Bombyx mori: one gene and its partners. The protein of the gene in region 1 binds, or shares a complex with, the protein of each later gene. Links are inferred from orthologs where the notes say so. Each region holds a gene or a part of one and is shown in the gene's direction. Other genes may lie near its edges.

Region 1 (3,762 bases):
TAGAGTTTCTTTCTAAAAAAGTACCCTCTTCACATAAACCTTTACCTTGTCTGTTAAAAAGTTTCCTGAAATTCAAACAATTACAAGCCCCAACTCATTCTTTTCAGGTGCTTCCTTTATTTGGCGCTTCTTATGATTCTCTCTTACTTTCTCCAGTGATTTGCTTTTCTCTTGGCATTGAAAAATCTGATTTTAATGCCAATGAAAATTTTAATTGCAATGTCAATAGTAAATGGCCTAACTGGCATCAAATTTATACAGATGCATCTAAACACTCCAGTGGGTGTGTTGGTGTTGGAGTGTATCACAAACAGTACAACATAGTTCAGAAAATTAAATTACCTCCGGAATCATCGGTCTTTACCGGTGAATGTTTTGGACTATTAAAAGCTCTTGAATATGTGCTGTCTTTCAAACTAAAAAAAACCGTTGTATTTACTGATTCCTTAAGTGCATTACAGAGCTTAGCAAAATTTTCACTAAAACTTAACCCTTTTTTTCATGTAATATTTGAATGTAAGAGAAAGCTGTTGCACTGCCAATCACACAACTATTTAGTATCATTTTGTTGGGTACCTAGTCACTGTGGCATATCTGGAAATGTGAAAGCTGACAGTTTGGCCAACAGTGCAACTGTGACCGGTGACGTATACCCGTACAAGAATTTTGGCCATGATCTTGCTGCTTTGCCCGGCATATGCCTCCACAAATCATGGAATATGTGTTGGGAAGAGAGCGGCCGGATTAAGGGTCGTTTCTTGTATGCTATACAGTCTTCCGTTCCCAGGAAGCCATGGTTTGCCAAATTGTCGTTTGGTAAAACCGCCACTTCTACTATAATTCGTATGCGTCTGGGACATAACAGCCTTCCAGTTCATTTGCACAAACTTGGTATCGTAACTAGTACCGCCTGTGAGTGTGGCGAGAGTTATTGTGACCTGAATCATATTTTCTTTGCTTGTTCTTTATATGATCATTCTTCCTTATATACTTCTTTAGTATCTCTCTCTATTCCCCTTCCTACTAATATTTCTTTACTTCTTCGAGATTTTAATCCCCTTGTATATAGTATTTTAAGTAGGTTTATTTTAAATAATAACATTAAACTATAATTTTGATTTATTTTCCCTGTTATATAATTATTCTGATTTTTTTTGTAAATTCAATTCGTTCTAAATCATTTATGTTTTGTTGCGATAAGTTTCCTTCGTTTTTTATTATTTATAAACTGTAAATAAATAAAACGGCGAATTATAAAAACGTTATTACTTGACGCTGGCTAATGCACAAAACGTGCCAGAGCCAAAAATAAAGAAGAAGAAGAAGATATATGAAAAAATTGTGTCCGATTTTTAGGATGAGTGCTCCATAATGAATTTAAATATATTATCATATAGTTATTAGTTTTGGTGTATCTACTTTCTTGAGATCCTATTAAATATGTTATAATTATTATTTTTGTATGGTTTAAGCGGGGTAGCATGATAAAATAAGAAATGTTATATAAGCAATCATATTAAATCGATATCAAAGTCAATAACCCAAAATCCTGGTGGTAGGACCTCTTGTGACTCCGCGCGGGTAGGCACCATCGCCCTGCCTATTTCTGCCGTGAAGCAACAATGCGTTTCGGTTTGAAGGGTGGGGCAGCCGTTGTAACTATACTGAGATCTTAGAACTTATATCTCAAGGTGGGTGGCGCATTTACGTTATAGATGTCCATGGGCTCCAGTAACCACTTAGCACCAGGTGGGCTGTGAGATCGTCCACCATTCAAAGCATTAAAAAAAAACCGGTTGAACTGACGTGACAATGACATTTGGTGCGCTAAGCATGACGGATTTTCGGCCTCATTAGACATTTACGTATATTCATGTTTCATTTTATGTACGCACTGAAATACTGTTATATTGTTTTCCTGCGAGTTACAGTGCTGACTCGTGCTGAGTAAGAACGAGATAGATATATGTTTATGTGTGTGCCTTCAAAATGGGTGTTATTTGTATAAGCAATTGTACGTATAGAAAAATATGTCGTGTCCCTACTATATAGGTCAATGAAACGCACTGAAGTATACTTTAAAGGTTTATGTATAAACAATGTTCTACAGCTTGTCCTGTAGCCATGTATGCAAGCCTCATTAACACACTACACCATCAGTGGTCACTGTTGCAAATAAATTTGCAAAAAGTCTTCAACAGGATTTTTTTTTTATCAAATTACTTTACTTCTTATTTAGTAAATGTGAAAAAGTTATGACTTTCCTCTTCGCTTAAAGCAGTTTCATACAACAGATATGGTTTTAGTTTTAAAACAAAACAGCCTGTATGACCTTTGTTCCTTTGGTCAGGGTATTTGCGTGTTTGAAAAAAATTTGTTGAAGTAATGTCAAATTCTGTATCTTATCTGTGGCTAGTACTAATCATACTAAACGTATCGTTACTGTAATTTAGGATAATAATGGGTAAAATATCTTTTAAACTGAACAAGGCTTTGTGAAATCAAGTAATTTATATTTAATGAAAATTTAATAATTGGGGTCTAGTAGCTACTATCATTGTTTTATAAACGAAAACACTGGCAAGATGAATGTCCTACCAGCACAACCTACAGGCATTCAGAGTACAGCGGGAGCAATTCCGATAAGAAATGAAAAAGGTACGATAATGTATTCCTAAAATGAATTTAAAAAAAAACTGGCTTTCAAACTTCCATTCTATAAAAATAAAGTTAATTGATTCGAAATTTTCACATTAATCAATGCAGCTTAGTTGAAGCATTTCCAAAGTTTTCATTTTATTTTACATAAATTGGCTTCATTTTCAGGTGAGATCTCGATGCAAAAGGTGAAAGTTCAGCGATACATATCTGGAAAAAAGCCTGACTATGCACAAGGAATGTCATCATCTGAGGAATCAGATGAAGAAGATTTTATAGAGCAACAAAGACCTGAACGGAAACAAGTTTTACCTCAAATAATCACCCGCAAAGAAGAACATCATAGCGATTCTGAGAAAGAGGTAACTTATAAAGAGCAACACTAATGAGAAATACTATAAATGGACTGCTCTCTGCAGCTCATCTTAAATTGTACCTCATAACAGAAGTGTCAAGGTTAATTGCATCTTTTTCACTTCATTGTAGAAATGTATAATTTCACTTTTAAGGTTGATGATCCTCGATTACGACGTCTCCGTAATATTGCACAATCACCGCCGCGTAGAGCCGAACACAAGCCTGAAATTATTGATGCAGAACCTGAAGCAGAATCTGAGATCAGTGATCATGACGTGAGGGATAGTTCCGAGAGTGAAGATGAACTGGATGAGGAAGAGATTGAAAGACGCAGACAGGCTCTAAGAGCAAAACTTGCAGCCAGGTAAATGTAGAACATATTAGTTTTTAAATTCACAATAATACAGTGAAATAGATAATTTTAAATGAATTATGCTTTCAAATATAACTCCTGAAAGAGTATATGGGACTCTCCACCCAGCCAAAAGGGAGATTGCTGTAGTTGAAATGTAGTGGTTTTCACATTGTAGTATATATGAGTTCCAAGTGTTTTGAGTTCCTTCACTATGCAATCACTATGCAATAAAAAAGGAAGACATTGTTAGCACAAGTGTTTTTTTAAAAAGGTGCATTACGAACTTAAATATTAAATACGTCTGAATGTAATAAAATTATCAATTTATTAAATGGTAGGGAAGCTGAAAAAGAAGTACTCGGTAGAGATGAAGATGAAGAAATGTTGGAAGG
Region 2 (3,762 bases), on another chromosome or scaffold:
TGCTAGGGGCTGAGTCAAGCTGCTGCCTACCGTTATATTTGACAGTAATTTGCCCGGCAGAGAAGTTCGCACCTGCTCCGTAAACCCTTCTGGGACTTTGTCACCGCGAAAAGCATTCTCGTCAACGAGCGCGAAGCTCCATTCTTTCCCCGTTACTCAGTTCAGTATATATTTTAATAATACACGCCAGTCGTCAGAGACCCTTCTAGCTCTCTTCGGCGATGATACTAGTTATTACTGGAGTGAGCTGGGAAGATGTCGCTAATTCATCGGCGACTCTAGACCGCAGGATCAGGAGCTTCGGAAGTGGCGTAATTAGTGGTGGTAGAAAGTCTTGTGAGTATCCTTGTGAGTAGTGAGTAGACTTGTGAGTACCTACCGCACGGGTAGGTACCACTACCCTACCTATTTCTGCCGTGAAGTAGTAATGCGGTTCGGTTTGAAGGGTCGGGCAGCCGTTGTAATACTGAGACTGTTAAGTATGTGTGCGTGTGCCTACGCATACGGGGTATTTCAACAAATATAGGGCAGTGTGTTAACAGCAGGCAAGTGTTTCACTCGTGTATCCCTCGTATCTAACAGAGACCTTATAACTTACATCTCAAGGTGGGTGGCGGAATTAACGTTGTAGATGTGTATGTGCTCCAGTAACCACATAACACCAGCTGTAAGCTCGTCCACTCATCTAAGCATTAAAAAAAGAACGATCCTGATGACCGGACAATATACAGTCGCCCTCAGTCTTAACCCGTTATTTCGGGTCAAAGAGTCGTGGGTCCAATTTCCAGGATAAAATGTACTATGCGTACATCGCAAGCTACTAGGCAGGATAAAATGCGTAATGCATATTAAACATAATAATTAAGGCCTATTGGTAGCATAGGAGGCATTGACCATACACTTCACGTTTAGTTTGTAGTCATAAAATTAAATGTTATGTGGGCAACATGGAGTAAGGTTGTAATAGTAACTCTATGGTGGGCAATCTATGTATGGCTTGTAGCTAATCTATGGCGCTGAACTTGAATTGTGTTTATTTCCTTCTGTGTGATTTTATTTTCAATAAAATTTTAGACATTAATTTTGTGACATTGTTTATTATATATGTAAAAATATAAACCTTCAAATTCGCGTAGCAAGTTTTCTGTGGTAACTTCGTATAAAAGACGTTTTATACACAATGTCCATTGAGATAGAATCAGCCGAGTGAGTTTACTATCAATGTAAACACGAAATTACTTGAAATTATTCATCAAATATTTAATTTAGTGCCTAAAATATATTTTTATTTCAATTGCAGTGTTATCAGACTGATACAACAATACTTGAAGGAGTCAAATTTAACCAAAACATTGCAGACTTTGCAGGTTAATTCTGTTGATATTTAATTAAACATATTTTTTAATGAATAGAATTAGTGTAAATTTTTTAAACTTTACAGATTGCACTTATTTTACTTAATTATTCACTTATATTAATGAATTTTGTGTACATTTATGAGAACTTCAATTGTATCAAGTCAGAAAAGAATACCAACTTATTATTGATAAACTCTTAAGCTTTGACACTGGCTAGGATTAATGTTACATACGGCTTTTTTAACTTCAGACAGCATGCAACTTTTAGTAAGATCCACCCATATTGAACAATTTGGGGTTGTGAATTTTTTTTAAATATTGATACCATTCCTGTGCCACTGAAGCTTTAACTTCCAAGATTAGTAGTTGTAATGACCAAATTATATGAGATGTATGCATGTTGTTCACTACTGTTAGGGTGTCTTGTGACCCCCCAATGGTACCTATAAGTTCCTGCCTATTTTTCAATAGAGCAGCCATGTGTACAGGTTTGATAGATGTGACAGCTGTAATACTATGTATAACACTGAAATTTATACCTGAAGTTTCAAGTTAGAAGGATGGCAGTGTTGATATGTCTCAACTAAAGACTCAACACTTAGTTGGCAATGAGCTTGTTCACCATTTTATGCAATAAAAAGCCGTAACTGTACATCTGATTCAGATGTCATCTCTCTGAATTTTGAAAGTAAATGATTTTTAATATATAGGAGGAAACTGGAGTGACTCTAAATACAGTAGACAGCGTGGACGGTTTCTGCGCAGATATTAACAATGGCCACTGGGACACAGTACTTAAAGCTACTGCTTCACTCAAGCTTCCTGACAAAAAGTTGATGGAGTTATATGAGCAGGTTGTATTGGAGTTGATAGAACTGCGAGAATTGGGTGCTGCGAGATCCTTGCTACGTCAGACACATCCTTGTCTGTTGATGAAGCAGCATGAAACAGATCGGTATATGCATCTTGGTGAGTCAAAATTTTAGTATATGTATTTGGCTAAAAATACATCCAGTCTTTAAATCAGATTTGTATCTTAGAATGCTAATGAATATGAATAATATAATATAAAAAGATATAATATTTAAAATAAAACTTATTGCAATACAATAGTAAATAAATGCAATACAATTAAAGTAAATAATACTACTGCTGTAGCAACTTGGCTATGCCTTTGGCATTGTTGATGTCCATTAATGTGACCAGATGGGTGGTCCTAAGCTGATCTAAATAGAGGCAATAAAAACATGTTTAGTTTAAGCAATTTTTATACACATTTCCAATTGTTTTAATCCATAGTTAAATCTGTATGTGTCTGAATGTTTATCTTCATATGACAGAAAACCTGTTAGCACGTTCATATTTCGATCCTCGTGAGGCATACGGCAGTGGAGGAGGCAAGGAGCGGCGCCGCGCTGCCATCGCAGCGTCCCTCGCCGGGGAGGTGTCCGTCGTACCGTCGTCCCGTCTGCTGGCACTACTGGGCCAGGCCCTCAAATGGCAACAGCACCAGGGTCTGCTCCCTCCCGGCACCACTATAGATTTGTTCCGTGGTAAAGCCGCAATAAGAGACCAAGAAGACGATCTCTGCCCCACCCAACTGTCCAAGATCATCAAATTCGGTCAGAAGTCCCACGTGGAGTGCGCGCGATTTTCTCCTGATGGACAATATTTAGTGACGGGCTCCGTAGATGGCGTCGTTGAAGTTTGGAACTTTACAACAGGAAAAATCCGTAAGGATTTGCGTTATCAGGCTCATGATGAGTACATGTGCATGGAAGAGGCGGTGCTGAGCCTGGCTTTTGCGAGGGATAGCGACACATTGGCTGCTGGGTCTAATGATGGAAAAATTAAGGTAATAAATGTTTTAAAACCTCATGCTAGTTAACCTTTTCATTACTGCTTCCGTGTAAAAAGTGAGTTATTATTGCTCCCTAATATATAATTATATAATGCTATGTATATGACCTAATGAGCTCAGAATTCACCTGGGCATCATTAGGTGGTAACAGACAAAACGGAAAGCAATATATATTTCCTAAGATGATTATATACTTTTTGTTGAACATATCGTGCAACCGCAATGTAATGTGAAGTTAAGAGACCTTCTCCTCCCCTTCCCTCCTCTTCTCCACCCCTTCTCCACCCCTTCGCCACCCCTTCCCCGGGCTGCATTGAACTTTGAACATGAAATTTTTTGGTCGTTCAAGATAGTTTCATTGTATCCTTTGTTCAACACATGGGTCATTAAGTAAATTCAACATAATTACTCAATAAAATTCTCTGTGAACAGGTCTGGAAAGTGTCAACGGGTAAAGTGCAACGCAAACTGGACCGAGCTCACTCTAAGGGCGTGACCTGCCTGCAGTTCACCCGAGACAACACTCAGATCCTCTCGGCCTCC
Region 3 (2,813 bases), on another chromosome or scaffold:
GTACCTCACGAGCTCACTGAAAGAAACCTAATGAACCGTGTACTCATTTGTGATTCTTTATTACGACGTAATGAAACCGAACCATGTTTGAAGAAGCTGATAACTGGTGATGAAAAGTGGATCACGCACGACAAGAACGTACGAAAAAAGTCGTGGTCAAAGGTCCGTCAGGCTTCACAGACTGTGGCAAAACCTGGGTTAACTTGCAACAAGGTGATGCTGTTTGTGTAGTGGAATTGGAAGGACATTATTCATTATGAGCTGTTACCACCAGGCAAGACCATTGATTCTGAACTCTACTGCGAACAACTGATGAGATTAAAGGAAGAAGTTGAGAGAAAGTGGCCAGAATTAATCAACAGAAGGAGTGTGGCTTTTCATCATGATAACAATGTGACCTTACACATCTTTAGCCATTCAGCAAAAATTAAGAGAGCTTGACTGGAAGATGTTAATGCATCCGCTGTTTATCCGTATATCCGTCCTGACCTTGCACCTTCAGGTTTCCACCTGTTTCGGTTCTTCAGAATTCTTTAGGCAGTGTCAGATTAACATCACGAGAGGACTGCCAAAACCAATTGTCTCGGTATTTTGATCAGAAGCCCCAAATTTTTTATAGCAATGGGATCATGTCCCTATTTACAAAATGGCAAAAAGCTATCGAACAAAATGATACCTACATACTTAAGTTAAATGTAAATAAACTATTAAAAAAATTTGTTAATTTTCTTAAAAAATGCGAAGAAACTTTTTCCCCAACCTATTATATTAATTTTCATGTAACTGAATATATAAAAGATTAGGCTGTATAATATATATATGCTTTCGCCTTTCTTGTTAGAAAATGGAAATACTACAACTAATCATTTGTCAGTTTTGTCACTGCTAGTTGTCAATTAGAAACATTTCGTTTGTGTTGTTAAGGATGATTTTCTCGTGTTATTTTTTTAATAGATCTAATTGATTACTCTTCCCTCTGGGTACACGTTTAATATAAAACAAACAAGTGGAGTGTGTAAGAAAATCATAACTTGTAATTGTTGTGAAATAAATACTATAAAATTTAAACATGAGTATGCGCCCCGATGACCACCGAAGAAAATGGGACAAAGAGGAATTCGAGAAAATTGCAGCCGAGCGTTTGAAAGCAGAGCTAGAAGAAGAAGAAAAATCCAAGAAGAAAGGTAAAATATTTGTGTCAACACACTTTGTTACGTTAAAATACAAATTTGACACAATATATAAATGTTTGTTTAATTTTCATTTTCCAGCCACTCCAGTCAAACGTGAACTTCTCAAACAACGTGAATATAAAGTAGATTTGGACTCGAGACTCGGGAAGAGTGTAGTAATCAATAAGAATACGCCAACGTCCCAATCTGGAGGATATTATTGTAATGTTTGTGACTGTGTTGTTAAAGATTCAATAAATTTCCTTGATCACATCAATGGTAAAAAACATCAGAGGAATCTGGGAATGTCCATGAAAATAGAAAGGAGCAGCTTAGATCAGGTGAGCTTACTTTTTCACATGTATGTATATGCATAGTACCAAGCAGGTAAATAGGATTGTTGACTTGCTACTAGATTTATGGTCTGAGATCATCAATTGGCCACTGTTGCATCAAAATAATAACAAACATCATGAACCAACGCTATTATTTTTGTGATTGCCTGAGTTGAGCAAACCTACCATCCCACTCAACTAGAGCACTCAATATTAAAATAATTCTCAACAAATTCTTTCAATCTTAATTTTATCAAGTTCTAATGCTATTGTTAAGGAATAATAAATGTAAAATGTTCAACCAAATAGATGATTTAAATTTCTAGACCACTAATTTGAAATAATCTATCTAACTCATCTAGCTGTTCTCAATTTTATAAATACCATTCAGGTTTTAATAATATTTATTCTATTCTATCATAGCTACTACTACTACATTATATTTGTTTGGTTCCAGGTAAAAGCAAGATTTGCACTCAATAAACGAAAGTTGGAAGAGAAAAAGCGTGAATATGAATTAGACACAAGATTAAAGGAAGCCGCTGAAGAAGAAGCTCGTGTGAAAGAGCTACGTAGGGAGAGACGTCGGGACAAGAAACGGAAGTTAATGGAGAATGATGAAATAGATGATACACCAGCACCTTCTGAATTAGCACAAATTATGGGGTTTTCTGGCTTTGGAGGATCTAAAAAATGATATGTTTTAAAATGTAAAGCTTATATTAATAAATACTGTGTGGTACAATAATGTTTCATTGAATGTTTTAATTATTATTTGGCTAATAATTCTATTTGCCCTGACCTTGTTTTATCAAGGTATAATTATGAACTTTGATTTAGCAGACAGGATAATATTACCATATTTATTTGGAAAAGGCTAGAAAAAACGACACCATGTAAATGTAACATGTTCCAAATGCTTTTTCCAATTAAAAAATATAAATTATAAGGCTACAATGTCCACTACCGGACTTGGTATGAGGGCATGTTTTTCATGTGCTAGATGAAAGCTTTTCACTGACTCCAGTAGTCCTGTATATGTCAAAACTCACATCAACTTTAGTTTTTGGGATTTGGGATTTTGGGATATGTAAATCGCACGTGACTACTTTGACTGACTGACTTTTCGAGGACAATAAACAATTCAACAACAAAATCAGTTGGCTGGGCGTTAAAAGAGCGCTCATCTCTCTACTCTAAGTCGTTTCTGTTGAGTCTGGGCTAAGATAACGATCTCGCCCAAATCTATAAATTAAAATAAGACATGACTTAAAGGTCTTAGTCACCAGGTCATAAAATACCTTAA

The links.
Region 2: microfibrillar-associated protein 1 (region 1) and WD40 repeat-containing protein SMU1 share a complex: the UniProt entries of both Homo sapiens proteins name them as parts of the spliceosome B complex. The link is inferred for Bombyx mori from reciprocal best matches to the Homo sapiens genes MFAP1 and SMU1.
Region 3: microfibrillar-associated protein 1 (region 1) and zinc finger matrin-type protein 2 share a complex: the UniProt entries of both Homo sapiens proteins name them as parts of the spliceosome B complex. The link is inferred for Bombyx mori from reciprocal best matches to the Homo sapiens genes MFAP1 and ZMAT2.

Annotation. Positions count from the first base shown.
Region 1 is NC_085127.1:8,423,968-8,427,729, reverse strand, and holds the start of microfibrillar-associated protein 1, read left to right. Parts: upstream 1-1,502; 5' UTR 1,503-2,585; coding exon 2,586-2,658; intron 2,659-2,826; coding exon 2,827-3,020; intron 3,021-3,167; coding exon 3,168-3,379; intron 3,380-3,708; coding exon 3,709-3,762. UniProt on the Homo sapiens protein: Involved in pre-mRNA splicing as a component of the spliceosome.
Region 2 is NC_085112.1:943,217-946,978, forward strand, and holds the start of WD40 repeat-containing protein SMU1, read left to right. Parts: upstream 1-979; 5' UTR 980-1,180; coding exon 1,181-1,206; exon of another isoform or gene 1,207-1,223; intron 1,224-1,300; coding exon 1,301-1,367; intron 1,368-2,068; coding exon 2,069-2,327; intron 2,328-2,698; coding exon 2,699-3,213; intron 3,214-3,651; coding exon 3,652-3,762. UniProt on the Homo sapiens protein: Involved in pre-mRNA splicing as a component of the spliceosome. Regulates alternative splicing of the HSPG2 pre-mRNA. Required for normal accumulation of IK.
Region 3 is NC_085128.1:9,737,976-9,740,788, reverse strand, and holds zinc finger matrin-type protein 2, read left to right. Parts: upstream 1-866; 5' UTR 867-1,069; coding exon 1,070-1,184; intron 1,185-1,271; coding exon 1,272-1,513; intron 1,514-1,964; coding exon 1,965-2,204; 3' UTR 2,205-2,255; downstream 2,256-2,813. UniProt on the Homo sapiens protein: Involved in pre-mRNA splicing as a component of the spliceosome.